2 linked regions of the Kluyveromyces lactis genome follow. The protein of the gene in region 2 interacts with the protein of the main gene of each other region in a pairwise test. Links are inferred from orthologs where the notes say so. Each region holds a gene or a part of one and is shown on either strand. Other genes may lie near its edges. The genes, in order: MSB3 and KLLA0_C17380g.

Region 1 (15,988 bases), on a different chromosome or scaffold from region 2:
AGTTTCCTGTGCGGCCATTGAATCTTTTATAAGTGACTCTTGGAATCGGAGTATTGTAAAATCTAGCCTGAGGTCTTAAAAGACGGCTGAAAACGTTCTTGAACATCAGTTGAAACTATTATGAATTGTACCAACAGTAATCAGATACCACAAGGTTGGAGGTTTAATCAGGGTACTATATATGTTACTTATCCATCTTTTTATTTTATAAATTGTCTAAAGGTTGGAGTTAGTAAAGTCCTCAAAGCTTTAAAATGCAGATACATATCTTCAGTCCATGCGATGAGATGAGATGAAATACAAGACGCAAAGATTCTAGAATCCTAGAAGCATAGAGGTGTTTAGGGAATATCAGACTATAGTAAGATCGTAAGCCAGACACCATGGTATCCGGAGATGTTGGTAGTGCTTCGTTTTTGAACAAGCAGATGAAGATGAGAGGTTTGCAGAAGCTTCGATTCTATTGTCAGATATGTCAGAAACAATGTCGAGACGAGAATGGGTTCAAATCGCATTCTAAGTCGCCATCTCACTTGCAGAAGCTTAGTAAAGTGACTCATAAGGATATTGAAGAGTATACGGTTCAGTTTGAGAAGGATTTCCTTCGATTGCTACGGCTTATGCACGGTGAGAAGAAAGTGGAAGCTAATAAGTTCTACAATGAGTTTATTCAGGACAAAGACCATGTCCATATGAACGCTACGAGATTCACATCATTGACGCGATTTATACAACATTTAAGCCAGGGGGGGAAAGTACGGATCCATGGAATAGATGAGCTTACTAGCGATACAGACCCAGGACGGTTTATGATAAGTTATATCGACTCGTCTTCACCAAATATGATACGGAAGAAACAAATAGAGTCATTGAAACAAGCCGAACGTAGTGACCAAGAGATTAAGCTAAGGCTCTTGGAGAAACAAATCGAGAAGGCCAACGCTGAAGAAGTCAAATCGGGTCAAAAGGAAGAAGAAGAAGAAGAAGAGGAAATAAAAGCCAATATAAGAGATGGACCTATAAATCTAACAGTATCCACATCGAAGGTGACTAAGAAGAAACCGAAAAAGAAGCTCAAAAATGTTTTCAAGCCAACGAAATGAGGCACTTATATATATGTAATATTAATGGGGACCGTTCATTGAAGTATATACCGCGCTACACACGTAGCATTGCAACTTTGTTTGCGAATAATACAAGATATAACTCACGTTTGGGCCGTTCTTTCTAAAAGATGTCAAAAGAGTTTTGCTGTTCAGATTGTAGTTCTAAGTATCTCTTTTTGAATCTGTAATAGAGGAACCACGTTGTTAATATTAAAAATCCATTAGCCAATAGAATAGAGATGAAATTGATTAACCTTGTAGAACCCGAGTCTGTTTCTCCCATGTTTTTGAGCCTTTCACCAACGAAGAGATAAATAACCGCTTTTGGTGTGGTGATGATGTTAGCAATGGCAAAGTTCTTGATTGAGATTCCATAAATACCAGCTATCGCACCGTTAATGAAAGAATATGGGAACGGACAAAGTCTAATAAGAGCAATCATCCAATAGCTGTCATTACCTTGTAATACCGATGATACAGCTTCTAATTTGGGATTCATTCTGATCAATCTCTCAGCATGGGAATGCAACAATCTCTGGAATACTGTGAATGAGAGAACTGATCCAATCACAGTGGACATGGCAAGAATGAACCAACCCTTGAAGGAAAGCCCATAGATCAAACCTGTAGAGAGAGATAAAAATGAGTATCCGATCAATGGCGGGAACGAAACCGCTAATATAAGTAGCATTAGAACTAGAGGTGTGTACCATTTCTGTCTCAGATCATTAGAGGCATCCACCAACCCTTTCATTATCGCTTCCCTTTTAACTACTGTGATAAAGATTAATATGATTTCAAGGACCCCTAAAAACACCACAAGAGCCTTCTTTCGTCTGCTCAACGCATTAAACTTATCCTTGCCATTTCTTAAATGCCGTTTCCCATGTTGAACAATACGTTGCCTCCAGCTCAAGTTGTATATGTCAAGGAAGTCATCGTCCAAATCATCAAAGTTGTCGTTACTATCCAAAAAATCCGTGTCTGAAGGCCTCGACAAACCGCCAGAACTAACTCTAGCCTCGTAAAGATCAGCCATTATACTAGTATCAATTGACCTTGAGTCTTTACCGACACTAAGAGGCTTGACAACAGCATATGTTTCTCTGATTTCCAGATATACAGTGTTCAAAGTGTTAATCTCTTTGATGAATTAATTAAATGTTTTGTAATATAGTGGCGGAGTTGTGAATAATGAAGGATACGATGGAAAGAGTTGGTTTCTAACCGTCCCTGAAGTGAACTACAACCTTTCTTAGTTAGAGCAGAAGAATGCACGGAACTGGTGTTACAACCTGTGTGATCATATTGACGGTCAATATATCTAGATCACCTTTAACCGGAGACCTTATGGTCACGTGATATTCATCCTATATTGCAATAAATGATACCACCTCACAAGAGAAAACACAGAGCGATGCACTTAGAAGCACGGGCTCTCCAAGATAGCTGTCCTGTTGTTACAGATGGTTACACCCTACTAAACCCCCGATTTTGAAGTGACACGGCTGTTCAATCGCCGGTAATTCCTTGTGTCAGTTTTCCAGACGTCAAATTGAACTGAATTTAGATCCCAGCCACAAACGTTTTAATAGAGAACACGACATAAGACGTTCTCCAACCGTTCAAGGTCGAGATCTGAATCTAGATATTTAGAGAGAACGTCAGCTTCTACTGTACAGAGCTAAATCATATGAAGAGCTTATTGAATAAGCGGTTTTCGCCTAAACGTCGAAATAAACCAATCACTTACGCACCAGCTTCAGCAGCGAAACCTAAACCCAAACCCAAACCTAAACCCAAACAACTGGACCCACCAATGCAATCCGGTGAGAGCAGTAGCCAGAAAAGCAGCACTCCCATACCAATCAAGTCTATATTAAGACCTGTTGATGGCACGCACGAACATGAGAATAAATCTGTCCGCATTGTGGAATCTTCACCACATCCGGAGTCTGTTCCAATCAGCACACCAACTAGGATAATAGTAGGACCATTACCTGATGGAAATGTTAGTGACTCTTTGGTATATAATGCCAGCGATTTAGAAAAGGGTCATATCGGCGTCGCGGAGGAATCGTCACCGCTACTAGAATCACAGTTGCCTGATTTGACAACATACCAAACAATTTCCCCAGAGTCCAACCCCACTGCACAGATACATTGCTGGTCAACACCCTCGTTGCCAATTCCAATACCACCACCATCAAGCGATCAGCCATGTTCAGGCGACCCCGTGCAGTCACCCTCAATTCCCCCATCCAGGGAATCACCATTTACCAGTCCGTTAAGTCGGTTCTTGCAAATGCTATACGCAAGATATCCTGTCATCATAACTTATATCCTAATCACCATCTGTGTCATTGGGATAATATATTCTTTAGTAACAGGAACTGGTAGATCATATCTCTTGGTTATTATAAAGGCATGTATATGCTGGATAATGGGTACAGACGTGGCAAGAATGCTTTTTGGTACCCAGTTCTGTGATATTGAGTTTAAAGTGTCATGATGTTTCAGTACTGCAAGCTACACATTAAATACCATTAGCATAGCAATAAAGTTGATATAAATTGATATAATCTAACCAACAAATAGCACCAGAACCAGCCAATACACAGCACAGTCCGTTAACGGGTGATGAGCATTCTACTCGTAGTCCAGTGTCAGGAACAAAATCTTCAGCACGTGACCTCTATTTACGTATCATTTCTTTTCGAAGTGAAAAATTTGGACAAAGCGATGAGATGAGATGAGATGAACCACTGGAACTAGTCCATGAAGCAGGTCGTGTTACCGTTCTGTCAGTGTTTCTGTTCAATTGTGCATTGGATTAGACAAGTGGCAAGAGTTTACTGAGAAATATAACAATGGGTTTGAAGAAAGTTCTAGGTTCTGGTGCTGCACTGGTAGCGAAGAGACACTTGAAGTTCGATGATGATGCGGATGATTCATTCCATACAGCTGATGAGGGCAACTCTACCCTAGATGCTCTCAAACCAACAAAAGCAGAAGCGAATGGTGAAAGTGAAAGTGAGAGTGAGAGTGATAGCGATGCGCCAGAAGAAGAAGGCTTGAGTAGTGGGAAAGATGCTATAGAGAAAAGGATTCAGGAAAGAGAAGAGGCTGCAAGGTTACAAGAAGAGGCAGCTAGAGAGAAGAGACGAAAGAACGAGAAAGTGTTCAAGCAACAGCAGCTAGAGAAGAAGAAGAAGCTGCTCGAGTCTGAGGAGGAGAAACAGAGAGAAAAGATGTTAGAGTTTGAACGACAATTAGTAGCGCAGCAGGGTTCGGATAATGATGAGCCGGAAGAGTTACCACAAGAGTTCTTTGATGAGCTAGAAAGTGGATCTGCATCTTCCTTCGCAAAGGCTACGCCGAAACATATTACTTTCTCGGCAGAAGCGCAAAGAGAAGAAGAACAGGCCCTAAAAGAAGAATTACGGAAACAAAAGAAGAGATCACTAAGGGAATTGAGAAAGACCCAAATACAGAAAGGACCTGTCACTGTGAACTTGCTATCGTCGATGAAGGTATCTAAGACACTGGCTCCAAAAAAGGAAACCAGTGTCATGAAATCAAAGGATAAATGGTTGAAAAGAAGAAGTCTCAAACGTAAATAGAAGAGGATTTGTGCCCACATGTACCTATCTATTCAAATATACAGGTCTTTATACATGTGATTTGTCTCGTGTATAATGTATTATCTAAAAGAGGAGTTTCCTGATTGGCTTTAGCTATCATGAGGAGCGAAGAAAGAGATCATTAACGGGATAAAGATACCCAAGAGTAACAATCTGACATCTGGAAGTGATTCTTGTTCTATTTTCTCTTCAGTGGTAACACCTTCGCCCATCTCTAAAACAGAACCCGACACTGGGATCGGGCCATCATTCTGTAACTGTTGTTCCTGGTCCTTACTTGGTGAGATCAACGCAAGCAATGAAGCATACAATAAACTACTACCGCTCAGAACCAATAGCCCATCGCTCATTTTCTCGATTAGGTCCTTGCTGACGAATCTCATCAGGATCACGAATAGCAACCCGAACGGTGTGGATATACTGAATGCAATAAGATTAGAGATTACTTGTAGTTTGGGTAATCTCTGTTTCGAAATCATAATCCCCGTCAAGGAAAGCGTCGCAGGAATTTTATGTATAATAATGGCGATCAACATCACGAATTTCAACGAATCGTAGGATTCGGCAATCCCCAACGCCAGTCCATCAGAGAATGCATGGATTACCAACGCGAATACGATATTGTTCGTTAAGATAAATGGCACCGTCTTCCTTGGATTGATCAAATCGATATTCCTCTCAAGAGGATCAGGCGCAGCAGAAGCATCAAACGAACCACTTAAGATGTGACCAGCTTGCAGTGCATGTAAGAACCTATCTAGTCCATATAGAATCATGAATCCCAATAACAAACTGATCCCAAACCCACGGCCACCCTTATCACCGAATTTCTCGACACCTTCCGGTATCACTAGTAAACAAGAAGTACCTAACAACATACCAATACCGAAATCAGACACATACTTCAAGTACCCCATGCCAGAGTCTCCCTTCTCAGCTAGCTTACTCATGTACATCACCGGGATAAGCCCCGTTCCTAATGTCGCAAAGAATAGGAATACTGCCGAAAGTAAAGGTTCTAGCAGCTGAGACATGGTTAATCAAACGTGTATCCGTGTTCACCTCTCACTAGTGTCTATTACCGCTACCAATCTTGATTCAAATTGCAGTCCTGACGTATAACGCACACAATTAGTGCCAAAGACCAGTCATATCAACGTGTTTTGTCATTATTTACCTTATATATCAACGTTGAAAGGTTAAATCGTGCGATTTAGAATTGATGTTCGAAGTAAGAATTGGACCCTGAACATATCTCTTTATGGAAAAACATGTAGGATATAACCGGGTGCATTGTGTTAATGCCATTCTGCACGACTGTAGCAGTGGGTAGAGTGAGATTAACTGGTTGGTAAAATCTCCGTAAAGAACGCAGTGCGGAAAACAGTGACACTTTAATCTGTAGATAAAGAGAGCAACTGGTGACGCATCATTTTGTTGTAAAATTAACAATGAACCAATGGGTGAAGAAATCGATGCTTTAGACGATGGGCTGCTGACTAGGACTTATGAGCTGGGGCTGAAATGGATGCAATGTAGGGAATATTCCAAGGCGTTGGGTCTTTTCTCAAAAGCCATGAAAGTGTCACGATCGTATCCGATGGAAATGGTGGAAAATATTCGTATACGTGCTGGAATGCCCAAGAGATGTGCTTACGATGAGAGTAAGGCTTACCATCCTCTGTACGTGAAACTATTGGATAGCAGGATATCGTGTTTGATGAAAGTTGGCGACTATGCACGAGCCGTTAAGGAATCACAGTATTTCTGCAAGATTGAACCGTCTAGTACTAGGGCCTTGTTAAGGCTCGGGAAGTCGTACGAGCTGGCTGATAAGGGTGATAGGGCAAGGCAGGTATACAAGAGCGGAAGGAAACTTGTGAAAGAGTTGAAGGAACGCGGGGTTCTCGTGTCTCCGGTACATGAGAAGCTTTTCAGTGATCGGTACGAGGAATTATTGAAAAGGAACGCTATGCAGTTGGTTAATAGCAATGATGCTGAATCCGGGGCTAGGAATTCCGAACAGATACCAAGTAAGAAGCGTGTTTTAATAGAGCAGAAACTAGTTAACAATGAGGACATTGAGGAAAATGACCTTGTCTCCGATACAGATCAAGACCATGACGGTTCAACGATGAATAAGAAAATGAAACGAGCAACTATAGACCCTATCCAAACTTTCCCAACAGAACTTGTGATATCTATCATGCGGCGATTGGATACAAAGGATATCACATCATGTATGCTGGTATCCAAATTTTGGTATCGAAAACTATCGACCACTCCAATGATTATAGACTATTTAAGTGTTCCCAAGACAAATTATTCGAAGATTAATTCACTGTTAAGGTTCGTGAAAACGAAACGGTGTGTGAGCTCCGTCATTCAATATCTGAACTTCTCTGTAATGGCCACTAATGAAGAAGCTAAGTGTTCACAGTTACTGTTCAACGGATTGGACCAGGAAGTGAAGAAACTGGTCTTACAATTCACTAATTTGAATATCTTGAAGGTACTTCAATTGATCTCGGATAAGGAAAAATTGATTGCGAATCTTCAAGAGTTCTCTGTCTTTGGCCATTATGATCCTAACCATTGGGCAGATGAGGATGTTGTTTTCCTTGAACGTATCGATAATTTAAAGAAAATCGAGGTACTTATTGGGACCGCTATGGTGCCAGGTAGAAATTCTTCCATACACAGACGCAGACAATTGCAGTTTCCGAACAATGACAATATAAGTCGTTCCTTACAATCCATTAAGTTAATATTCAAAGATAATGGATGGACAGGTCCCACGCCGTTTGCTTGCATCTTTTCTTCGGACACCCTGCGGTTTGCCAATGTGTCAAAACTTATTGTTACCAACCGTGATTTCAGATTTAACCAGACTGCAGATTGGATAAAAAAGTTCCCCAACCTCACGGATCTTTGGCTAGAGCGGAACACCGGTTTGTCTTTGATGGGATTCTTACAGAGCTTGCAAGAGCCAAACGTTTTGAAGCGCTTAAAATATTTCACCTTTAGGGAAAGTTCCACTGAATCTAATAGGAGCTTCAATGGCCAAATGTGGACCGATGAACAAATCGAACCCATTCTTGCAAATCTTGGAGCGGTCCAGACTTTAGACATCATGAACTCTGCCATTGCAAGAAGTGTGCTATATAGGTTGTTAAATGAACTTCCTTCTATTAGAAAGCTAAACATCGGAAATGTATTCGAAATGTCAGATGAACTTTACCCAAGGACAGACATAGAAAGTACTGCATTTCTGTTTTTACGGCATATGACGCATCTAAGGGATCTCAGTGTACCGAATATGAGTTCTCACCAGGTTAGAGCTTTCAGGCAGTTAGCACTTGTCATATCAGAAATTGGTTCATTAAGTAGGTTGGACCTGTCGTTTAATCCTTCTATGCAAGGATATCAACTTTATGACATTATAAGAGAACTCTTTGATAATGGAATAACACTTAAAACTTTGGTTATCGATGGATGTTCTCATATATCGGCCACAACGGTCAAGGATATTGAACGTAATGGCTACGTTGAAAACATTGAGTGTGCCTTCAATAAGCAACAATGGGAAAAATTCGGTGTGAATTCATTTTGGTACCGTTAAATAATAGCATTTATACATAGTTAAATAATCACAGAGGATGAGTAAAGGCGTGCACTTCAGTCGGAGCACTTTTGTTACGCAGTATCGGGATTCTTTCGAGATGCTCTTCTTGAAACGGAGCTTTTCGTTCTTAACCTCAAGGGAGAGTTGGGATTAGATTTCACATCAGAGTGTAAAATTGAGTCATCCCTGCGGGTTCCCACAGCATGATCAAGTATCGGAGTCAGAGAATTGGATCTCGGATCGTAATCGATTCTAGAGAAACTGCTGCTCTTTGGAGGATATGGGTACGGTTTCCTTACCTGTAGATCGCCTGTGCTCGTCTTTTTGTCAAACGAAGGACGGAAATTTATCATAGAATACTTCTTCTCTGATAATGGCGAAGATGAAGACGAATATGGTAGCGATATAGAGTTATGACGCTTACCCTTTCGATTTCCGTTGGTTGCAGAGTCTGATTTGCGACGGTTGTGCGCCCTGCTTCCAAACTCATTTGAATATCTCGGAGGATTGTTTAAATCTTGTGATTTTAAGGAACCTGTTCCGTCGGGTACTACCATAAAGTTATCCAAATTATCAGCATTTAATAGCACATCATCAAATACTTGTATTGCCTTCTTTTCGCTATTAGCAAGAACTGGACTGTTAATCAAAGGAACGTCCCGATTTGAAATTTGGAAGGGATTTCCTTTGATATCTGTATTAGATATGATCTTCCCCTTTAGATAATTAATCATCTTATCTAGTTCAAATTCTTGACCACAGTGATTTTTTATGATTGATATTTTTGGCCAACTAGCACGAACACCATTAGTAGCTTCCCTTAGTAGAAATTCTTGGGTGGGATTAGATAGTAGTTCGTTGAATCGTAGTAGTGTATTCATTTCAGGAAGTATAGTGATATCACCGCTATATTGTTGTGACAACACTGATCTTAGCTTTGTCAGGACATTGGTTCCGATACCAATTTCGGTAGCAATCTCTAATGCATGTATCACTTCGCTGGCCATGTATTTGTAAACTTTCCCTAATGCCATCTTGAATCTTGCACTGAACTCATCTTCTATTTCTCCTCCTACGCAGGATACAGATAACTTCAAAAAGGGGAAGACGTGTATGTTGACCTGACATGCAATAATATGGTCAACGTTGAACATCTCAGAAAGTTTGGAAACCGGTAAATCATTGTCGACTGATCCATCGACAAACTTGACCGAACTTGAATTCCACTGTTTTGTTTCTCCGGTCTTTGGATCCTTTTCGTACAAGGGAGAAGATGGAAAAATGCCAGGCAGAGAACAAGAGGCACAAACCGCGGACCAAATCAAGACATTCGGAGATGTTAGATTGTTCAAAAGCCGCGGTTGTTCATGAACGGATGCAGGCGAGACTGTAATATTCAAAATCTTCCCGCTCCTGTTATATGCTTCCCTGAAGGTAAGGTTCCCCAAGAAATTGATCATTGTACTAACAAGATTTTTGTTGTCAAACCAAGTACCATTCTTGAAGAACCGGGAGATCTTTATAAGAAGGTTTTCACTTTCGCTCATTTCTAAGTCATCTTTAAAGATATTGAAGTCTTTTACGAGGATTTCATCCATTAAGCCCATGAGTTCATGTTCTTGTCTAGAAGCAAGAATCGAAGCAACAATTGCACCAGCACTACTGCCGCTGATTACTCGAGGAAGTAATTCTTGCTCGAAAAGCGTCACAAGGATACCGATGTGGAACAATCCAAAGGTGCCACCACCACTCAACACTAATGCGGTTCTACCTATATTCTTTCTTGTCTGTGTGAGCATCCCCAGCAAGTAAGTGTCGTCCAAATCTGAATTATAAACTAGTTCTTGTAAAGATCTAGACGATTCTGCCACGTAATCCTCAATGATATGCTTGGTTCCAACATACGAATGCCTATAAAGGTTTACATTCCCCATACCACCACGGTTCCGAACCCAAGTGGTTCTTATAAGATATAAGAGGTTAGGCCAATCCTTTGCCAAGCGCGCTTTTTTCATCGCTTCTGTGCTGGATTCGACAAGGCAATAATCATACAATACAGACTCCCGCTTTGATTTCCATTGTTCAGCATTTGTAATATCGTCTAGCTTCGTTGCCGCCGCAAGCCATTCCTGTAAAGATCTCGCATTCTGTTTCTGCTCTATGAGACGAGCTATTTGTTCATGAGTACTATCGGCTCCCCTAATAAATTTGTAAAAGCTATTGCACAGCGAGGAGAAAAAGTTCAACTGCGGTTCATCTTGTCCAGAATCATTGCGACTCTGTTCTTCTGTCATTTCGGCGCCCTTATTGGCCCTCTTGTAGTAGTTCTTAATGACATAACTAGTAATCGGGTCATCTTTAATATCAGTCACGCTGGGCGTGTTCATGACATTCGGCATTCTAAAATATAAGTAATATCCCGCTCAGCAGGTTTGTGTGTATGCAACAGAGCAAAGCGTATGTAAGCTTATTATCTGATGCTATGCTTCGTGCCCTTTATAGGTTGATTAGACCACATCAACAGAATCCTTTCAAGCAAATCAGTCATGTGGTGGTTATTAAAGTGTCATTCTTTGCTTTGTTTCCTTTGCATGTTTCCTTAAAGGTTTCAACGCCGTCAACAGTGATTGGGCATCGGTGTTACAACATCAAGCTGGTTAAAGAAGGACGATAAGGGTGTCACAATGGGTTAGTAAGGGTTCATTTATGGCTGTGCATGGTTTAATCCATGCTGGGCTATCTATACATACCGATAGATATGAGCTTTCTCGGGGCGGAATGATCTTTATGCCCTTCAATCTGAACGATTCCGATCGATTGATTTCCGAGACATAGTCTTCAACTGATTGCAACGGGTTAACGAACAGGTATGGCTCGATGATACTCCATAAGTTCAGTGTCAAGAGGTCCAATATGACGTTGACAAAATTTCTTCTGGTTATTGGGTTGTATGCAGCCTCTAAGAGTGAATTGATTCGAGTTACAATTTCAGTCCATTCCGCTTGATCCAAATAGTTTGATAATGGGCTCACTGACGTTTCGCCATACCATTGGCCTTCAAACTCTCCTGCCGGAACGAACTCCTTGTTGTGAGTATCTGGTAAGGCTGCTGGTTCAGACCCAGGTAACTGTGTGCTGAAATTAGGAAATTCTGTGGATGACTCAAACCTTCTGGGAATTCGAACGACTCTAGTGGTTCTAAATTCATCGCTTTCTTCAGGTACGTATATGTTTGGAAAATGGGTGATGCAGATTGGATTCTCAGGTCCATGCTCTTCGCATGATTCCTCATCTAGTGCTCTGTACTTTGTAATCACAAATTCATGGTAATTGAAGAATTTCGGTTGTTGTGCAGAAGTTGATTCTTCAACGGTAATCGCAGCTTTAGATAGATCTGAACTGTCTGCAGTATCTGCCAGTACCAGTGATACCATTTGTGTTGCAATGTTACCTGGTAGAATGCCGTTTCTACCTCTTATTTCCCGTATTGATCTGATATCGTTCGTGTTTTTACCCTTTTATGTAGGAATTGAAATAAATTTAACGGAATTGATATTTATGTTCAGATTAACACTAACACAAGTTAGACATCTAATGAAGAGATGTATAAGGGAGTATAAGGAACTAAACTACTACAATATCGCACATCCCACCTCCAATCATGTCTGAACTTGATTTCGTTGGTAAATTTTTGAGTTTGGCCGCTTTGAATGAGCCAAAACTTGCATCGAACTACCGCAAACCATTACATGAAGTTACAAACCTTGGTGTTTCGTTGCCCCCATTGAGGTACAAATATGATCCAAGTAAATCACATTCTAAGAGTATCTCTAAAGTTGTAGAAGTTACCATCAAATCGATCAAAGCGCCTAAATTTGTTCATTCCAAAAGCTTCGAATCTACCGATACCGTGGGTCAGATCAAGGAATTCTTAGTGGAAACCGAGCCTGAGATATATACAACTGGTCAAATCAAGTTGTTGTTAAAGGGTAAAGTCCTCCACGACACTCAATTGGTCTCCGATTTGAACCAGGATAAAATATCCCTTGTCGCAATGGTTTCCAAAGCAGAGAAACCTGTGGAAACAGCACCTTTGCCGAAACCAGCGCAGGAACCTGAACCTGAACTTGAGTTGATGGATGTCGATATGGAGGATCCACAGTTGGATCTTTCATCTCAAACAGATATTGATTTGCCTTGGGATAAAATTAGAACCGTTTTAGAGAGTAGCTTGGATGCTAGCACGGCCTCAGTGGCCCTTGGAAGGCTACAGAAAGGTTGGGAGTTGAGTAAGTAAAAGATAGAACATGTCATTTGTTGGTCCATAATGCAAAACAACCCGGTTATATATGTAGTGATTTTATACTTTTAGATATTTCTGCTCTTTCTTCCATTGGTGATGAGAGAATTACCTCTTTCTGCTCAATCTACGTACTCTTTCTTTGATGTTATTATTCCAATTTACCCCATTTAAACCCTTCTTGAATCCGTATCCTTCGTTAGAAAAGGTTTCATTGATCAGTTCCTGTGCCAATTTGGAGTCTCTCTTATTATTGGAGTTGGTGGTTTCATTCTTCATTACATCTTGGAAGTTCTTGTATTTGGCTCTTTGAGAGATAACGTACTTCTTACATCGTTCGATTTCCTCTTGATTGAGTGCATTGAATCTCAATCTCCTCTTGAAGATGGCTTTGTCTATAATATCGTTGGGGTTTATCAACCGTCTAGGGTATGTTTGAATAGCTTGGAATAATTCCATGTCTTCATCGTCTGAGTTTCGGCTGCTAACGTGATTTAATTTTGGTAAATTGGTCTCGCTTAGTTCGATGATCGCTAACGACATCTTGAAAAGAATGTGTGAACCCTCATAGAAGAGACAATCCCATATACGTAAGGTAGCTTCAATAGGTACTACTCCTATGAAACAGCTCATGAACCAACTGGCAGTACAGAGTGTGACTGGTGGCAACTTATAGAGAAATTCGTTCTTATTGGATAGGCCGGGACTGTGTTGTTGATCTTTATTGGAATATATTCTTTGCCAAAAGTGTGGCAGATACTCTTTTATGCATAGTAAAAGCACACCTTGGTTAATATTGACACCTTCCAGGTTAATACTATGCACTCCTGGTAAGTACCTAGATGTCATTATTACTAGCATCCAAAATGCACGTTCTTCATCCATGAATAATAGTAAAAGACCAACTAAGAAATTCATCGATTGACAATAACCGATCTTAGCGTTATAGATGGCGAAAGCCTTTAAGATCCTCCTTAAAGATTTTATAATTAGTGGGTCCTCGGAACTGACCTTGGATCTTTGGAAATGGATATTATCAGGGAAAGTCCGATGTAAATCTCTTTCTATAATCTCAGTATCTTTACTTGTAAAGCTTGGATCATTGATCTTAGTCAGTAATTTATCATAAACACCAATGTTTTTATTCAAAAGCTCTTGACCGCGGGCAAAATACCACCAAGCATTACCTCTCCATTCAGCTGGTATACCTTTTCGCACGTATCTCTTCAACTTTTCCGACTTTGAAGGGAATCGACTTGGAGAATCATTATCTACTGGTAAACCTGATTTTAAAAGTAGGTCTTTCCATTTCCGTTTCCTTCGAATGCAGTACTTGGAGTACTCTGACCACCATTCGTTATATTGTTTCTCTGAGATATATTGGTTCTGCTTCATGAATCCATACCTATCCAAATGTGAATCCTTCACCTTGATTGAAGCTGCATCTTCTATCAGAGACGAGTTTCCAAGCAATTGACTCGCACGAGATTCCGATTCTGGCGTGGGCAATTGACCGATCCCATTCAACGCATCTGATGACCCACTATCATCTAAATTAATGGTCTTATCCTCGGTTGCTAGTGTTAACGCTCCCTCATTCAACTCCAATTCTGATGATCCACTGTTATTCTGATTGATCTTATGTCCCTTCATCGAAACTTGACCTATCTCTTCTTCGTTCTCATCATCCAAATCGTAGTATAGATTTATCAGAGATAATCCAGCTGAGTTCTCCCTTAATATCGTGCTCTTGGGGCGTTTGCTTCCAGATATACGTTCCGAGTTAGAATTGTTTCTAACAACATTCTTCCGTAACGCAACTCCCCCGTCACTAACAGCAATTGACTGTTCACTAGTATTCAAATCACTGAATTTTCGATTCAGGTCTGGTACACTCGGCGAAAACATCGTGTGTAAACGTATTGGACCTTTATACATACGATTTGCCTGATTTTGATCCTGATTCATCTAGTTTCACCTTCGGTTTTACAGTCATGTGATGTTCTATAAACAAAAAAAATCACCAAAACAAACTGGAAAAAGTTACCTTGATGAGCTTTGAATTCAGCTACGCGTCTCAGATCTTGGTATGTTGCAACTTTGGATATTTATCTGCCCGATATGAAAACCAAACACGTCCCTTAGCACCTTGAAAGACCTATGCCTCTCTCTTGAATTTTGGTTGTAGAGTGTGAGAGCTTCAAACCTGCTAGTCATTTGATCAGAAATCCTTTAAGCAGTAATGAAAACAGATCGAGAAATCAATTTCAGTCATGCTTTTTTCACGTGATTGTCACGTGAAAGAACATTCAGTACACATTTCGTGGTTTATACCACCTAGGACATGTGTTCGCCCCCAGTGTTGGAGTCTGGTACCACATAGTGAGTCTGTGGAGGTTGTTTGTAGGTTTACTCTAATGGTAATGGTAACTACAAGTGTATGTCACGCCTTTCTTTTATACTCCACATTCATATTTGAACTTTTAGACTTAAAACCACACCTGCGATGAGCATTGAAGACTTGAAAGGAAATTAGTAAAACGGAGAGAGAAATATAAGTTAAATAACCCATTAGCTCATCTGTGTGGTACTGGAGACCGGCTGCTGATGTGTGATGTTGGATGGTGTTTAGTATCGAAGTTAATTTCACTGTTATAGATCAATATGACAGGGCGTTCCAGATGGAGATATCATTTCCCGTCAGAGGACTATTCAAGTTGTCAAGGTGTCCAATTAGACGAAGGTGTGCTAATATGGAATAAACTACCCGATAAGTTCGCCTATATCAAGTCATTAGTGTTTACAAGTAATTGTCAAGACGGCACGCCATTATATTCATCGTTTGTGGAGTTAGAGGATGAGTGTCCGTATCTTCCTATTGTGGCTTTCGATTGGAATAGTTATATCAACAACGATGGATATACAGGACCGTTCAAATACAGCATCTATTCTGTCATTTATTCTGTTACTGCCAACTTTATCATCACTGTTTTCCTAACGGTGATCGTTTTCATCAACGTTCCTACCAAACCCAGTCGTAAGGCGTCGTACATTTTGAAATTGGGTGCGTTGTTGGCATCATTAAACCTTTCCATATTTGTCATTAGAGTATGGAAGAATATTGCAGAGAATTATACTTATAATGGTTATGTGTCATCTACATCGTTTTTGAATCTTCTTTGGGGCGATAAGGTATTTGCTGGTATCGATTTAGTTGTTGTATTCTTATTGCAGATTAGCCAGGTGCAGATTGTGATGAGATTCTTTGATAGAATGCAAGAGAAGAGGATGGTTTTCTATTTTGGGTTGTTCT
Region 2 (16,775 bases):
GCATAACTCAGTAAATATGGCAGTCATGGAAGCTCCGCTGCCACAAGGCGCAGGTTATGCAGTTGTTGTAGGATTGGGTTTTGTCTTCGCTTTTGCAATGATTTTGACCACATATGTGCTAAGACGTTATCAAAAGGAAATTATCACTGCTGAAGAGTTCGCTACTGCCGGTAGATCAGTTAAGACTGGTTTAATTGCTGCCGCTGTTGTCAGTTCATGGACCTGGGCAGCCACTTTGTTGCAATCTACAACCATGGTTTATAAAGTCGGTATCTCTGGTGGCTATTTCTATGCTGCAGGCGCAGGGTACCAAGTCATCTTATTCAGTGCATTGGCAATTAAATGTAAGCAAAGGGCGCCAAATGCACACACTTATTTGGAAATTATCAAGGCCAGATACGGGACCATTGGGCATTTTTGTTACATGTTTTATGCTTTAGCGACTAACGTTTTGGTCACTGCGATGCTTTTGACCGGTGGTTCTGCAGTTGTGTCAGATTTAACGGGGATGCACACTGTCGCCGCATGTTTCTTATTGCCAGTTGGTGTCGTATTGTATACGATCTTCGGTGGTATAAAAGCTACGTTCTTGACCGATTATGTTCATACGATCGTTATCATTGTAATTATCATGATTTTCGCATTCACAGTTTACGCCACGAATAGCCAACTTGGGTCTCCGAAGGCAGTGTACGATCTAGTTAGAGAAGCAGCCAAAGCACATCCAATCGAGGGTAATGCTGGTGGTGAGTATTTGACAATGAGATCTCGTTCTGGTGGTATCTTCTTTGTTATAAACATTGTCGGTAACTTCGGTACCGTTTTCTTGGATGCTGGTTACTGGAATAAAGCTATTTCTTCATCCCCGGCAGCAGCTTTACCAGGTTACGTTCTTGGTGGGCTATCCTGGATCGCTATTCCAAATTTAATTTCCCTTGCTATGGGTTTGGCCTGTGTGGCATTGGAATCTTCTCCAAACTTCCCAACTTATCCAGAAAGGCTAACTGCAGAGCAAGTTAGTGCTGGTCTTGTGCTGCCAACTGCGGCTGTTACATTATTGGGTAAAGGTGGTGCTGTCGCTTCGTTGTTATTGGTTTTCATGGCTGTTACAAGTGCCATGTCAGCTGAATTGATTGCCGTCTCATCTATCTTCACTTACGATATTTACAGATCTTATTTGAAACCAAAGGCCACAGGTAAACAATTAATATTCTCCTCTCACATCAGTTGTATCGTATTTGGTTTAATTATGAGTGGTTTCGCTACCGGTTTGTATTACGCAGGAATCAGTATGGGTTATCTTTACGAGTTAATGGGTATCATTATTTCATCTGCAGTGATCCCTTGTGCGCTATCATTGTTTTGGGATGCCCAAAACTTAGTAGCAGTGGTAGCATCGCCAATTATCGGAACAAGTCTTGCAATTATGTCCTGGTTAGTATGCACCAAATCCTTATACGGTGAAATCACCGTCAGTACCACTTTTGAAGATGATCCAATGCTAACTGGTAACATTGTTGCTCTATTATCACCATTGATTACGATACCATTGTTGACTTACATCTTCAAACCACAAAATTTCGACTGGGAGATCCTTAAGACCATTACCAGAGCTGATGAAGAAGAAGAGTTACTTGAAGCCGAGGGAAACGAAGTCTCTGTCTCTGATTCTGACAGTGTTGGTAACAATCAAGATGCCGAGAAATTGCAAGCTGTGAAAACCGTGATAACAACTGTAGACGAAATCCCAAGAGAAACCATTGAAAGAATGGCTGAAGAAGAGAGTCAGTATCTAAGCAGAGCTAGTAAGATTGCTGGATATTTGGCCATCTTTTTCGCTATTTCATTTATGGTCCTATGGCCAATGCCAATGTATGGTACCGGATACATCTTCTCTGAAAAGTTCTTTACCGGTTGGGTCTGTGTCCTAATCATTTGGATCTTCTTCACTGCATTCTGTGTGTGCTGTTACCCACTATGGGAAGGAAGACACGGCATATATACCACGGTAAGAGGTATATACTGGGATCTATCGGGTCAAACCTACAAATTAAGGGAATGGCAAGATGCTAACCCACGGGAAATGAAAGCTGTGCAATCTCAAATCATAGCAAAGATCGAATCAATCAGATCGGAAACTAACAAAAGTAAAGTGAGGCAAAACTTGGACGATGTTATCGAACGTTGATGGAAGTCATCACCTTATAGTTTTTCTCATATAGTCATCCATAAACCATCTTAATTCTTTTAATTATGATAATAACTCTTAAAGACATCAATGGCCAGGGTAAAACGGGGTCACAGTAACCTTAACAGAAACCCATAAGGCATACAGACCAGCCATGGAGTAAACCACCGCTATTCATAAGCTTTACAAGAAGTGAAGTACTCTTCACTTACGTTTAAGTCAACGGTTCTCAAATATGATTGGCCGGATATTTCAAATGTCCGGGTAATACTGTTGATCTTTTCCCTCAAAATTTTCATTGAATTGAACCAAACATGAAGAGATATCGAACTAAAGCATCAAGTCAAGAGTCAATTGATAGAAGATTACAAGGTCTCACACTTCTAGCTTGGTTGGTTTAGTGTATTCAATAGATAAAAGTCGAGCAGCAATGATTTCCAGAGTCCAATCTTTAGTTTCTTCTTTGACACACAAGACACAATCACTGTTGACCAAGACCGTTTACTACGGTAAGGTTACTGCTGAATTATCCAAGCAGGTCTACACTAAGGAAGGTCTACAGCCACCAAACTTCTCGGACTTTGAAATGGTCTACACCAGATTGTACAGACAAGCTTTGGGTTATGCTGATAAGCCTCAACAAGTTGTTAACTTGTTGAAGAACATTGAAAAGGACCAAGCCGTTAAGATCGGTGCTTTCGGCGTGCAATTGTTAGGTTTATACTCATTGGGTGAAATTATCGGTAGAAGAAAGGTTGTTGGTTACCGTAACTACTCTACTCACCACTAAAAATGGAATTGATTGAGAGGCCGACCGTATCAATTTTAAAAGCATATTCAGTAACATACGAACGAAATTTTAACAACTACAAACAACACTATATTCATTTCCAGCCAAGAAAAAAACAACCTAAAAATAAAGCGACTTTTACTCTGGTTTCCCAGATGAAGTGTTAAAAGACTATATATATGTATCGTCTATATGTAATATACATACGGATTCTGCGACGCTTTAATTATATGTATATCATCATGACTTAATTCGAACATTTGATATTGGAAATAAGCAACAGGGGTTATCCTGAGGTTAGGTCGAATCGTTGCCAGCTTCTTCCTCGGCATCCGATACAGAGAGTTTCCGTTTCTTTGAAGCTTCGATCATTTCTCTTCTTTGTCTCTTTTTTTGTTTTACAACCTTAGGAACAGTACTGATTTGTTTCCTCTCCACATGACCCTTACCCTTTTTCAATGATTCCTTCTCTCTTTTGGACATGGAAGAAATCTTTTGCATCCACTCTGAGACTTCACATCCACTTTGCTTCATCACGTTTATTATTGGTTTAATTGCCAAAGAATCTTGTTTCGTGTAAAAAGTAATGGCTTTACCGGATCTACCACCTCTACCTGTTCTACCGATTCTATGCACATACGCCTGAGCTGATCTAGGAACATCATAATTGATGACCAGATTCACACCTTTGAAGTCGACACCACGAGCCAACACATCGGTACAGATCAAACACCAAAGGTCTCCAGACTTGAATCTTTCGATAATTTTATCTCTTTGAACTTGAGTTCTTTCGGCATGGATCACGTCCACATTCAACTTGTCATATAGCAATTCATGGAACAATGCCTTGGCTCTTGTAATAGATTCCAAAAAGATGATTACTGGAGGTTTGAATTCACCTTCAAGAACCAATTGCCTGATGGCTATAAGTTTACCTTCCTCGTTACCACAGAATACTAATTGTTGATCAATGTTGATATTTGCTGCTTCTTTGTGACCGATAATGACTCTGATAGGATCGTTCATGATGGTTTGGGCGATTTCCTCCACGTTGGATGGTATAGTGGCAGAGAACATTGTTTTACGGAGATGTGGATCAGTACATGAACTCAAGATATCATCAGTTTGTTCCACAAATGTCTTGTCGAATAATTTATCCGCTTCATCAAATATTAAATGTTTCACTTTACCCAAATTCAAGGCTTCTTCCTGAACCACAGTAATCAATCTCAAGGGAGTAGAAATGATAATATCGTACTTGTCCTCACTGATAACTTTATTCTTTAATTTTGAGCTTAATGATTTTGAAAGTAGGGCAACTTGCAGAGGTCTTTTCTTGTCCAAGTATATCTTGTTCGCTAATTTGGAACATTCGATGAAGATCTGGTTCGCAAGTTCTTTTGTTGGGGATATAATTAAACCTTTAAGACCAACTGTGGTTTTATCGTTGATTATCTGTTGCAGTAGTGGGATCAAAAATGCCAACGTTTTACCAGAACCTGTGGGAGCACAAGCGATCATGTCACGTTCATGCAACAAAATCGGTATAGATTCACTTTGAATCGGAGTTGGTTCAGTGAAGTTATTTTCTATGAGGTTGTTTAACAATCTCTTATCGAATTGGAACCTTGTGATCAAGTCTTCAAAAGAACCGATGGGCAAAGGAACACTATTCCCTGAAACATTCCCTTGATAAGATTTACGTAACTTTAACGCATCTTGTTTCGTGATAATTTTCCCGGATAACTCAGTCTCGTCATCAGCATGATCTTCGTCTTCTTCTTGATTATCTTCTTGTACTTCGTCTTCACCTTCACCTTTGGTTGACTCAGACTTTACCTTATTCATGATTTTCTTATTACGGAAAAAATCCAACTCCTTAGTCAATTGTTGTTCATCTCTAGCTGGTGTACTTGAGCTGCCAGCTGTCTTACTCTTCTTTTCATTAGCCATGCTAAAGTCTGCAGACTGTGTTCTATTAGAATCACCATTCTTCCTTATGCTAGCTCCACGAGTCAAGACTCTAAAGATATCCATGTTAATTAGCGGTGCTAGTATTGGCCTGTGAGAAGTTACTTAGTAATGAGAATAAATTCGATAGTAAACCACTGTGAGTGATATAATCAATCTCTTACTACTCTCTCATCTCATCTCATCTCATCTCATCGCCTACATCTAATTGCAGTTTTTTCAATTAAAATTGATCTTACTGAAGCGTTTCTTTTCACAAAACTTAGGGTACAATAAGTGTAAAAATCGATATAAAAGTACTTCTCAAGGCATAAAGATGCAGCAAAGCTTACTTTAAGATACAGCTGGTATTAAGCCCTCATAATACCAGCCCATAATGACCATATTCCCTTGATAACAGTACCTAATGCCTTGATATTGCATGTATTCCCATCATACAAGATAGCACTTAGACACAGCGATGACCTCGTTTGGAGTGATCTGAAAAATTTTGAAAAATTTCAAAATTTGGATCGCTGCCTCGAGTCGAAAAACTACAAAGAAACAGTTTGAATCGTAGTTAAAAGGACTAAACTGTTAGAATTAAGATTCAATAATTCTAATATTTGTGTCCTGTGTAATTACAATCTGTTGATATTCGGTCGAGGAAGATTGAATTGTGAAAATACCAGACAGAAACCATTCAGACAGTATTTTTTTACTTCTGGAATAATGTCCTTAACCAAAATTGGTCTTAACTTAAGCACAAAATTCGGCGTGCGTAATGGTTCTTATCTACACGTTGGGACTAGGGTACGTGGTTTGAAAAGAGACCCAGTTGAGTCTTTGAAGAATCCACACGGTTTGCACTATGATTCTCTTGTCAAGGATGGCCATGTATCTACTGTTAAGCAAGGTTTGAATTTGGAAAAATATGGTATTGACTTGCCAGACGACATCATTACACAATGTTTGACTCACAAGTCGTTTGCCCAAGGTATTAAACCATACAATCAGAAATTGTCTATTATCGGTGGTCATTTTGTGAAATATCAAGCTTGTCTTCATTCCTTGGGTCTACCTGTTTCTGAAAGGCAACTATCACAAAGCGTACAGTCTGAACCTGTTATTAACGGACTAAATTTCGGTATGCTTGGGAAGGGAAGTTCTAAAATGTTAATATCCAAACAGAGTACGGCTGAATTTTTGCAAAGGAGAAACCTAGATAAATTAGTGTTTTGGAACAAACGAGACACTCAAAAAAGTCACAAATATAACGGTGAGTATACCGTGCTACAAACTGTGCTAAATTCTGTGGTCGGCAGTGTCTATCTATTGCACGGTCAAGACAAGGCCACCGAATACGTGTTGCATGAACTATTCAGCGACAATAGTGATTCCCTAACGAAGATATCTGAAAGTTTGTTAGCAAACAGGGATACGACCGAGAAGTTATAATATTATGTCTAATTTTACACGACAGGAAAGAAAGAGAAATGGAATACACAATAGACTTCGACATCAATAAAAAGCACTCGAGTGAATGGTCTCCATCGGAGTTGGGAAAGAGCTTTCAAAACTTGTATATATATATTTCGAAACGGAAGTTTCAATCACAGCTCTTGGTCAATGTGGTGTTTTAATCTACTCTTTCATCCCTGCTCAATTTCAACGTTTTATTATAATGAATTTACCAAAAGCATGAAAAGCATAACCTTTTAACGACACTCCATCGTCACACTTCAATTAAAAATGAACCTCGAAAGAAACGCGCGCACTGTATATATCTCATGTATCTCTAGAAATATAGACGTACATAAATTTACAACTAAATCTATCATTAATTAAATGTTAACATACAAAATAAAAACAGATTAAGAAAAGTACATAATACAATACATGTATATAAATACATATATAACTTCATAGAAGGGATGTTTTTTGCTGGTAATTTACTTGGAAAGCTTAGCATTTAAATACTCAATGTTGGTCTTAAGACTAGCTTCTTCCACAGTCTTTACCAATTCTTTGGTACACTTTGCTACATCAAATGCAATACCAGCTAAACGTTGTTTGAAATGCTTATCTGCGAACTCTTCGTCCCCCTCGTGCGCTACTACAATACCGTCTGGTTTAAGATGACAAAGTATGGTCATTCTACGACGACAGTCATCTAAACTCTGAACAACCCATGAACCATGTTCTTTCAATTGAGAATTACGGCTTTGGTTCATGGAAACACTTGTAGCTTCCACCATTTGCCTTATTACTTGATTGATAGCATTTGATTCGGTTCTTAGTTCTCCAGCAGTGGATTTAGGTAACTTAATACTGCTCAATAACGATTGAATTGTGTTTATAACATCCATTGTCTGATATTCTAGGTATAGCAATAAGTCAGAAAGACTATTGTCAGGATTTTCAATGTCAAACGCATCAACGTCAAATTCAATGTCGTCGTCAGTTTCACCAGTTTCTGATTGTTCTGCGATTTCTTTAGTTTCTGACTCGCTTTTGTTGGCATCGACGGCCTTCTGATCGTCATTAACTTTTGAATTATCAGAAGCAGTTACTATAGGCCTTAATGGAGAAATAACCAATTCGGCAGTAGGTGATGGGGATGGCTCTTTTTGTTTCAAAGTTGGAGTAACGGCAGGGATAGGAACGAGTTTTATATTCTTTTTGTTTACAGTTATCGAAGGTACAGATTCAGATTCAGATTTAGCATTTTCTTCAGATTCAAAATTGAATGACTTCTCATTTAAGTCGACATCCTCTGTTGAAACTTCAATAGGTTGTGGATGTACCACTGGCGAAAAAATTCCTTTCAAATTTTTTTCTTCGTTGGTTCCGTTTTCTTCTTGTAGATGCTTTTGCTTCATGGTTTGTCTTAACACTTCATATGTAGAATTCCCATCGTCCTCCTCCTCTACACTTTCGCTTTCAGTTTCTTCATCATTGCTGTTGTATATGTCAGAATTAATATTTTGCAATAGCTTTCCCTTTTCTGGAGATGATAACTCAAAAGGATTTGGGTCTTTAAAGTCAGAAGGAACAACTGCTGATGATTTTTTGGCAAGTGGCGAAGTAGGTAGAAGTGAATTGCTGGCTGAAGCAGACTTAATTGCATCAATGGTCTTCAATTCTCTGCGTTCGATTATAGGAGCATTGCTTTCCGATTTGGAATTGTTATCCAGAGGTAATTCTAACTGCAATATATTCTTGGATTTCTTTGATGCGTTATCTTTCTTCATACCCCCATTAAGCATTGCTGTAAATAAGCCAGTTCCAGAGGGCTTTCTAACTGAAACAGGCCTTGATGACGCGTCGTCGGTATTTTTTTTCTGGGTAATTTTCAAAGGTTTGACCGGAGACATTTCAACGCTATCAGCCCGAGAAGGAAGAAGTGATGGTTTGTCTAAAACACTTCCCTCGTGTAAACCTTTAGCAAAGTTATTCGAGGTTTGTCTATTTTGCATGGAGAGGCCAAGTGGACTATCCAGTTGATCACCAGATTTATTTGATGTGAATATTTCATCGTTATTGGATCCGCCATTTACCGTCTTAACCAAATCATAGATTGCAAATGAGATTTCTGAAACAGAATTTTCAAGAATAACTCTTGATAATGGAGTTTTATAGCTGCTGAAGTAACGCACAGATGTGATAGCATGTGATATTGTGTTCTCTAACACTAGTCTCATGGTCTTTGTATCTGGGGAGTGAACTAAAGTTAAAATTTTTGAACAATATTCTGAAATGGAAGCAATGTTCTCGAATAAAAACAAAACTGGAGGTTCAGGTGACACAATGAGGCTTAGTATTTGTGATAACTTGGAATCCAAGTCGTCGATGAGATTTGACGGTATTATACTAGTTTCAGGGAAAAGTTGCTTGTTTGAAATGGGGGCCATAGAAGAAGAGCTTGTTCTGACAGGTTTTTCAGCAAAAGCGTCTTCATACTTTGATTTCCAATAGGCAGCATCCTTCCCTGATTTACCGTCAATCGATTTAACTGGAGACTGTATATTTTTCAATTGCAGCTGAAGTTCTAGTTTTTCTTGTTTGAGTTCTTCGTTTTCTATTGACAGTTGATTTAGTTGAGTAGTCATTTCGGACATTCCCTTTTGGAAATTACTATCTAGAGCTTTAGTAGTACTTGATTGGTCGGCATTCTGTTTCAATTGCTGAACTTCTTCTGTTAATCGTTGATTATTGGTCTTCAATTCATCTAATTGATTCAAAAGTTCTGATTTTTCTCTCTCCAAAGTTGTAATGGTACTGTCCAACTTATTCCCTTCCAGAACTAATAGCTCTATATCACGATCTTTGTTACGTTCTACCGATTGAGACAAGGATCCCATTTTATTTTTATTACTGGTGAAAGGCGACAACCCAGCACTTGCAGCCATTGCTGTAGTGGCAGCAGTTTGAGCCAATGGAGTTCTAGCCTCACTGGATTGTGATAACGGTCTCTCTGAGAACGTGAAATGGTCATCTATGGAAATCGGACTTCTATTTCCCACAGGTGAGGAAGCTGTAGGTTGAGGTGGGCTTTGTGTTTCATCTGGAATAATGACCGGGGACTGATTTAGTGAAAACGCTCTATCTATCTTAATAACGTCATTGTCTTCACTAGCTAATTCCTTCTCATCAGCTTCTGGTTTGTGATCCTCTTCATCTGAACTCCAGTCGATTGATGCTGTCTTTGGAATGACTGTAGAAGTCTGCAAAGTTGCATTAAGTGCAGAATTCTCATCTTCTGGTAATTTTTCCACCGACGTATTATTTATACTGCTAGGTACAATTGGCGATGGCTTAGAATCAAGTACGTGTAATGCAGGAGAGGAGACCTCTGCCTTGTCATTCGAATTAAAATCTTCATCAGTATCAGCATTTGGGAATTCCTGATAATCTGCTTCTTCTGGTTCAGGTAACGTGTCAAACCCACGTCTTCTGATTTCGAAAAGAATATCATCGACCAAATCATTAAATCTCGCATTGGATAAGTTCGCCAATTTTTGTCTTGCCTGGTTCCTCTTTGCATGGAAACTTTCATTAGGAACTAAATAGTCATGTTGTGGCTGTGATTCATCAATTCGTCTTTGCAATTCGTCGCTGACGTCAGTACTCAACTCGAAAAACTGTGACGAAGAAAGTTTTAACAGCTTTGAACGTGCTTTCTGAGCACGCGATGTCATTGATCTATCATGGCTACCACCGGTAACCTCAAAGAATTGTTTTAAAGCAACATAATAATTATGGATCTGCACTTTTTGTGCATATTTCAGTTCCTTAGCACCCTCTTTCATTTGGAACGGTAAAATGAAAACAAATTATCAAACAATGGTCAATTAAGAACACGTATTAATGTCAATTGCAATTGTCACTGAGGACACTCGTTTCAAGTATAATGGTCAAAAAAGGGAAGTGAAATCGAAGAAACCAGTGTGTCTGTAAATAACTCAATTCGATACTTTCCCAAGTTTAAATAATTGACGGCCTTCTCCTTTTAAGACTTGTATCGTCTTTACCAAACCGCTACCGCTGATTCACAACAACTCGCACTTATTTCGTAATGATGAATACTTGATTCTATACAATTGACTTTCTTTCATGAAGAAGAGTTAATCCACTGTTTAATTCGAATTGAAACAAGATTCTAATTCCAATATTTCAATTTCCATACCTAAGAACTCATCGTTTTTTCAGCCAAAAGAAAAAAAGCGTTCTTACTACACCTCGTTCTTCGTGATAACGCGTAATTTTATTGAAAGTTTGGCGTTTTCTTTCACGTGATGAGAAGAAAAGAGAATCGATAAAAAAAATAAAAAAGAAATGCTGCTTCTGTGGATCGAACACAGGACCTTATGAACTTCAGTCATACGCTCTCCCAACTGAGCTAAAGCAGCGATTTCTGTTGGAAATACAACTCTTCGGATACCAATACCTTGGTGATTTGGGCAAAATGTATGCTAAGCATCGCACTTACGAAAGCATTGCAACAATGAGTGTGAGCAATTATAGTATAGCATTGAATTATACTAGAATATACATGCATATTATTAGGTTTTGTTTTAGTATATCTTTTTCTATTATATACATCAAACTTTTCTTGGTAGTCGTCCGATTGTCAGTAGACCTTTCAAGAGTTCCGGAATCGTGACGTGTAAATGCAATTCACCATCGTCGTGACCTGTCTTTGCAACCATGGCGAGCTTGTCACGAGCTATTAGATACCCACGAATCATCCATAGGAAAAATGCAGCTCCGAAATATCCCATACCGGAGAAAATGGCTGTATTCACGTATTGGTTGGCAACTGTTGGATCGTTACTACGTAGTCTTAGACCAATGATTGGGGAAACAATGGACATCATGCCGATACAAGGCCAGGTGAAAGAATAAATGGCTGGTAACTTGTTAAGACCACCGATTCTGGAAATGATACTTGTTTGTAATGGCCAGATACTACCCATTAATGCACCGGATAGGAGCCCGAATGCAATGGCAGTGGCAAGATTTCTGCATGGGATCCACATGGCAAGACATATGATACCAACAATAGCATGAACTATGATCCCCACAGTTACAGGCCCGTATTTATCAGCAACATGACCAACAGCTGGTCGAAAGACAAATCCACCAACACTGATCATGCAAGAGACAATGGAACCTTGTTTCTGTGAGTAACCTAGGGATACGGCGAAGGCACTAAGTGAATATAATAGTACAACGTATCCCAACATTGTGCAACTCACGTAAAAAATCAAGAACCATACAGCAGCGTTCTTCAGTAGGGATAACTCAAAAAATTTGGGCATTTCCTTAGCCGTTTCACGCACAACGTTATCTCTTGTTCTAATTAATAATAGAGCAACGGTACTTAACACAGAATTGATAATACATTGAGAGATCAATGCCCATTTCAATGACTTCACTTCGACAATCCTTTGCATTGCCAAATTGAAAAGAATACCACCTAATCCTGAGCCTGACGCACCGATCCCAAGAGCCAACGTCCTTTTTCTTCTAAACCATGGAGAGATGATGTTAGTTGCCGGAATAGAAATGAATGCTAACCCAAACGATACCAATAAACCCTGTGTCAAAAACACTTGCCATAATTTTGTCGCAAATGCACATAGCAACAACGCAGCACCTTGCAAAACAATCCCAACAGCAATGGATGTTTTCACACTGGTCTTAATCACAAAATAATTAATTAATGGTGCAAATATTAACCCAGCACCAAAAGCTAACCCACCAATAGCAGCAAAATCCAATTTCGTAGCTCCTGGGAATCGATTACTTTCTAGATAATATGACAAATAAATGGCAAACCCAGAATTGGAACCCCACGTACAAAAGTTAAGGAAAAAGTAACACATACAAACAACCCAGCCGTATCCACCGTCCGGAATTTGAATCTTGTTATAATCCACGGATTCATTATATTTTTCTGTTTCATTCACCATAGCTTCTTCCTGATAAAATGCTGCATCTTTCTCTCTGCTCTTCTGGTCGCTAACTTCCAGATCTTTTTCTACCATCCTATCTCTCTCAAATAAAAAAACAAAAACCCTATCGAAGAAGTACACAAATACTACAGTTCATACCCTTGCTAACGCTCGTTCGAATATTGAACTTCTCTTTGGTGCTTCGATACCTTCCTTTTTCTTGGCTAACTTTAACCTTTAAGCTTGATTTTACATGCAAGTTTGTTTACTAGCCGTATGTGATGGGCATCGTACAATGAATTTCGACCATTTTATATAGGCCGAAAGGGAAAAAAAAAAAAGTTTTAGCAACCAAGTAATGAGTTTGGAGATCTACATAGTTCCGTTGGAGTTCCATATAGCTCCGAATCGACAAAATCTGCATATTTTGCTGCTGCAGATACTGCAAGGTATATGTGCTTTTACTAGCATCGCTTTCCTGTTTTCAGTTGGATATCATGCGCTGAGTCACAATTCTTTGTCTGGCTGTTACTAAGAAGATGCGGCCGAATGCGTCATAAGCGGCAACAAACTGGTATGAGTCAAAAGAAGTAGTTAAGATAAGCATGTATGTGTATTTCATAACGTCAAAAATAAATAAATAAGTTATTAGAGGTGGGTTAACATCCTGCATAAAGTGTGTAATGTCATCTTTTTCGTGTTTTTGGTGAAGTTCGATGGTATAGCTCGGATAAGCCGATACTAAGGGAAAGAAAAAGAAAGAGATAGAGAGATAATACGAATGATATGATACTTTATGATATGAAAAAAAAATGATAATGTTGAGATAGACAGGGTGAATAATAATAAAATGAAGAATGTGTGTTGGTATTTTTTTTTTCGTTAAAGGGTTTTTATGGTTTTGGTTTTTCTAGTATACTACTACTAGTATCTTCTCAATCAATCTTTTTCTTAATTGTATTTGATGATATCAAATCTTTGAAATCTTAGGGAATATTTGAATGGTCTCTAAGAGCAGATGTGAAAGTGCAAAAAACGATGGATAAAAGAAGAGTTAGAAATAAATAATATGGGGGGGTTGTAAGTGGGAGGGAAATTTGTGCTTTGTTTTTGATGTTGATTGAACCAAAAGAAGAGAAGAGGTCAAATTTATACTTGAAAAATTTGATCTATTCAGTTCTTAGCCTTCTTGGCGTTAGCCAATCTGTTCAAAGCAGAACCGGCCTTGAACCATTCGATTTGTTCAGCGTTGAAAGTGTGAGACAATGGGGTTTCCCAAGCTTCACCTTCCTTTGGATGAACTCTCATGATCAAGTTCTTACCTGGAGCTAGAGTAGTCAAACCCAAGATGTCGATGGTGTCATCTGGGTTGATCTTGTCGTAAGCAGCTGGTTCAGCAAAGTTCAAAGGCAACATACCTTGTTTCTTCAAGTTAGTTTCGTGAATTCTTGCGAAGGATTTGGTAATAATAGCGAAACCACCCAAGAATCTTGGTTCCAAGGCAGCGTGTTCACGAGAAGAACCTTCACCGAAGTTTTCACCACCAATGACAACCCATCTGATACCTGCATCTCTGTAAGCTCTAGCAGTGTCTGGAACACCGGCGTATTCACCAGTGTAGTGGTGCTTGACACAGTTAGCCTTCTTGTTTTCAGCGTTAATAGCACCAATCATATAGTTGTTTGAAATGTTTTCCAAATGACCTCTGTACTTCAACCATGGACCAGCCATAGAGATATGGTCAGTGGTGGTCTTACCTAGAGATTTGATCAAGATTGGCATATCGAAAGCATCCTTACCATCCCAAGCCTTGAAAGGTTTCAACAATTGTAGACGGTCAGACGTTGGAGAAACTTGGACAGTAACGGAAGAACGGTCCTTTGGTGGAGCTTGGTAAGTGTTTTCACCTGGGTCGTAACCCTTAACTGGCAAACCAACACCAGTTGGTGGTTTCAACATGAATTCGTTACCGTCCTTGTCCTTCAAAGTGTCGGTTAGAGGGTTAAATCTCAAATCACCAGCAATGGCGAAAGCGGTAGTGATTTCTGGAGAGGCAACGAAGGAGTGAGTATCTGGGTTACCATCGTTTCTAGCAGTGAAGTTTCTGTTGAAAGAGGAAACAATGGTGTTCTTGTCACCCTTCTTGATATCTTGTCTGTCCCATTGACCGATACATGGACCACAAGCGTTAGCCAAAACGGTACCACCGAATTCTTTGAAAGTTTCCAATTGACCATCTCTAGCGATGGTAGCTCTGATTTGTTCAGAACCTGGAGTCACAGTGAAGATAGACTTAGATTTTAGACCGTGGGTAGCAGCATCCTTAACGACGGAAGCAGCTCTGGACATATCTTCGTAAGAAGAGTTGGTACAAGAACCGATAAGACCGACTTTAACTTCTAGAGGCCAGTTGTTCTTGACAGCGACATCCTTCATCTTAGAGATTGGAGTAGCCAAATCTGGAGTGAATGGACCATTGACATATGGTTCCAAAGTGTTCAAATCGATTTCGATGATTTCATCGTACTCAGCACCTTCATCAGCGGACAACAAATCCTTGTGGTACAATTGAGCGAATTGAGCAATCTTGTCTCTACCAGTAGCATCCAAATAGTCAATCATAGACTTGTTGAATGGGAAAACGGATGTAGTGGCACCGATTTCAGCACCCATATTACAGATGGTACCCATACCAGTAGCACTGAAAGTGTCAACACCGTCACCGAAATATTCAACAATCTTACCAGTACCACCTTTGACGGTAGTGATACCAGCCAACTTTAGAATAATATCCTTTGGAGAAGTCCAACCGTTCATTCTACCGGTCAACTTAACACCCATAATCTTTGGAGCCTTCAATTCCCATGCCAAATCGGACATGACATCGACAGCATCAGCACCACCAACACCAATAGCCAATTGACCTAGACCACCAGCATTTGGAGTATGCGAATCGGTACCAATAATCAAAGCACCTGGGAAAGCATAGTTTTCCAAAACGATTTGATGGATAATACCGGAACCTGGCTTCCAGAAACCCATATTATATTTAGCAGTAGCAGTAGCCAAGAAATCGTAAACTTCCTTGTTGATATCAATGGCTCTCTTCAAATCCTTTTCACCACCAATTTGAGCTTGAATCAAATGGTCACAGTGAACAGTCAATGGCTTAGCAACTTGAGGTAAACCTGCTGACATGAATTGCAAGATAGCCATTTGAGCGGTAGCATCTTGACAAGCAACACGATCTGGTCTCAATTTCAAATAAGAAACACCTCTTTCGATTTCTTGACCATGAGGATCATCCAAATGACCGTACAAAATCTTTTCTGCGTATGTCAATGGACGTCCTAGTCTTTCTCTGACGATATTGACATACTCAATGTTTTGTTTATAGTTAATGAAGGAATGGTCTTCCAACAAATTTTGATGAACTTTAGAGTCTCTAGTCATAGTACTAGAGACTCCGGTAGCCAAGTGTCTGATGACTCCTTGTCTAACGACTCCTTGCTTCTTCAAGGCAACACGAGCAGACAACATTATCTCAGTGCAGTTTAAGCGGGGTTTAATCCTTGATAGATGTAATACTATTAAAAACTGAAAATACTAAAAAAAAACCGCTGAACCTAATAAATACAGAAACAAATTGAATAACTCCAAGGAAAAGAAGAATCTAACAAACCGATAATGCTATATTATATATATAATGCCAAAATCTTCAACACATTTAGCCAGTATTAATTAAAAAACTAAAAATTACATCACGGTATAATGCTTTGCCCACTGTTTTTACAGTCATCATTTGATCCATTTGATCATTCACTGAGGGATTGAAACAGGAAAGCCTGTAAAAAATAATGAAACCAGAATAAACCAGAGAGGGAGAAAAAAAAAAAAAATTTCAAAAGCTGTTAAAGCCAAATGATGGTTCTAAGCTGTAGTAGCGAGCGGTAGAAGTGCCAGTAGCGGACGAGTCGAAACGACTGAATAAATGGAGTTTTAAAGGGGAATAAAGGATAGGAAATGAAAGGGCGCGGGGGTTTCTGCGCAGCGCGGTTAAAGGGTGGTGAGATACTTAGAATGGTACGTACGGGTGATTATGTGAGCTGGGGCCAGGACCGATTGTGATTGGCCAGTGGGCATTTTACGCTCGTTTGTCGAAGGGGCCGATGATGGGCGAGGCAAAAAAGGATGAAGAGCGGCTTCGGTTTCTCCATACATCCTTGCTTTTGTTTTTGTTTCGGGGGCGAGGGCGGTGGAGATATGGACCAAGGCCGAGGATCGGAAAAGGTAAAATAGTTTACCGAACTTGGGATGACCGAAGTTCGGTTTGCAGGGTAACAGAGTGGTACGGTATGGAGACCATGCCCGAGGATCGGGCATGGTT

What was found.
Region 1: the proteins of KLLA0_C17380g (region 2) and MSB3 interact in a two-hybrid assay, tested with the Saccharomyces cerevisiae proteins (2 studies listed by BioGRID). The link is inferred for Kluyveromyces lactis from reciprocal best matches to the Saccharomyces cerevisiae genes SPA2 and MSB3.

What each region holds. Positions count from the first base shown.
Region 1 is NC_006037.1:671,853-687,840, reverse strand, and holds MSB3 (Rab GTPase-activating protein MSB3), read right to left. Parts: upstream 14,644-15,988; coding exon 12,784-14,643; downstream 1-12,783. Other genes in the region: OMA1 (metalloendopeptidase), read right to left, coding at 1-106; RTS2 (Rts2p), read left to right, coding at 384-1,103; TVP38 (Tvp38p), read right to left, coding at 1,228-2,145; KLLA0_A07645g (uncharacterized protein), read left to right, coding at 2,800-3,618; BUD21 (Bud21p), read left to right, coding at 3,977-4,729; Mn(2+) transporter ATX2, read right to left, coding at 4,840-5,784; DNA-binding SCF ubiquitin ligase subunit DIA2, read left to right, coding at 6,210-8,372; TGL4 (triacylglycerol lipase), read right to left, coding at 8,447-10,774; SHR5 (Shr5p), read right to left, coding at 11,033-11,809; MDY2 (Mdy2p), read left to right, coding at 12,037-12,672; and 1 more. UniProt on the Saccharomyces cerevisiae protein: Regulates exocytosis by functioning as a GAP for SEC4. Stimulates specifically the GTPase activity of YPT6. Also required for efficient polarization of the actin patches.
Region 2 is NC_006039.1:1,518,181-1,534,955, reverse strand, and holds KLLA0_C17380g (uncharacterized protein), read right to left. Parts: upstream 10,241-16,775; coding exon 6,881-10,240; downstream 1-6,880. Other genes in the region: DUR3 (Dur3p), read left to right, coding at 17-2,188; ATP20 (F1F0 ATP synthase subunit g), read left to right, coding at 2,619-2,978; RNA-dependent ATPase ROK1, read right to left, coding at 3,276-5,015; MRPL15 (mitochondrial 54S ribosomal protein mL57), read left to right, coding at 5,661-6,386; KLLA0_C17336g (MCT family MFS transporter), read right to left, coding at 11,033-12,481; aconitate hydratase ACO1, read right to left, coding at 13,562-15,928. UniProt on the Saccharomyces cerevisiae protein: Involved in pheromone-induced morphogenesis and efficient mating, perhaps as a cytoskeletal protein.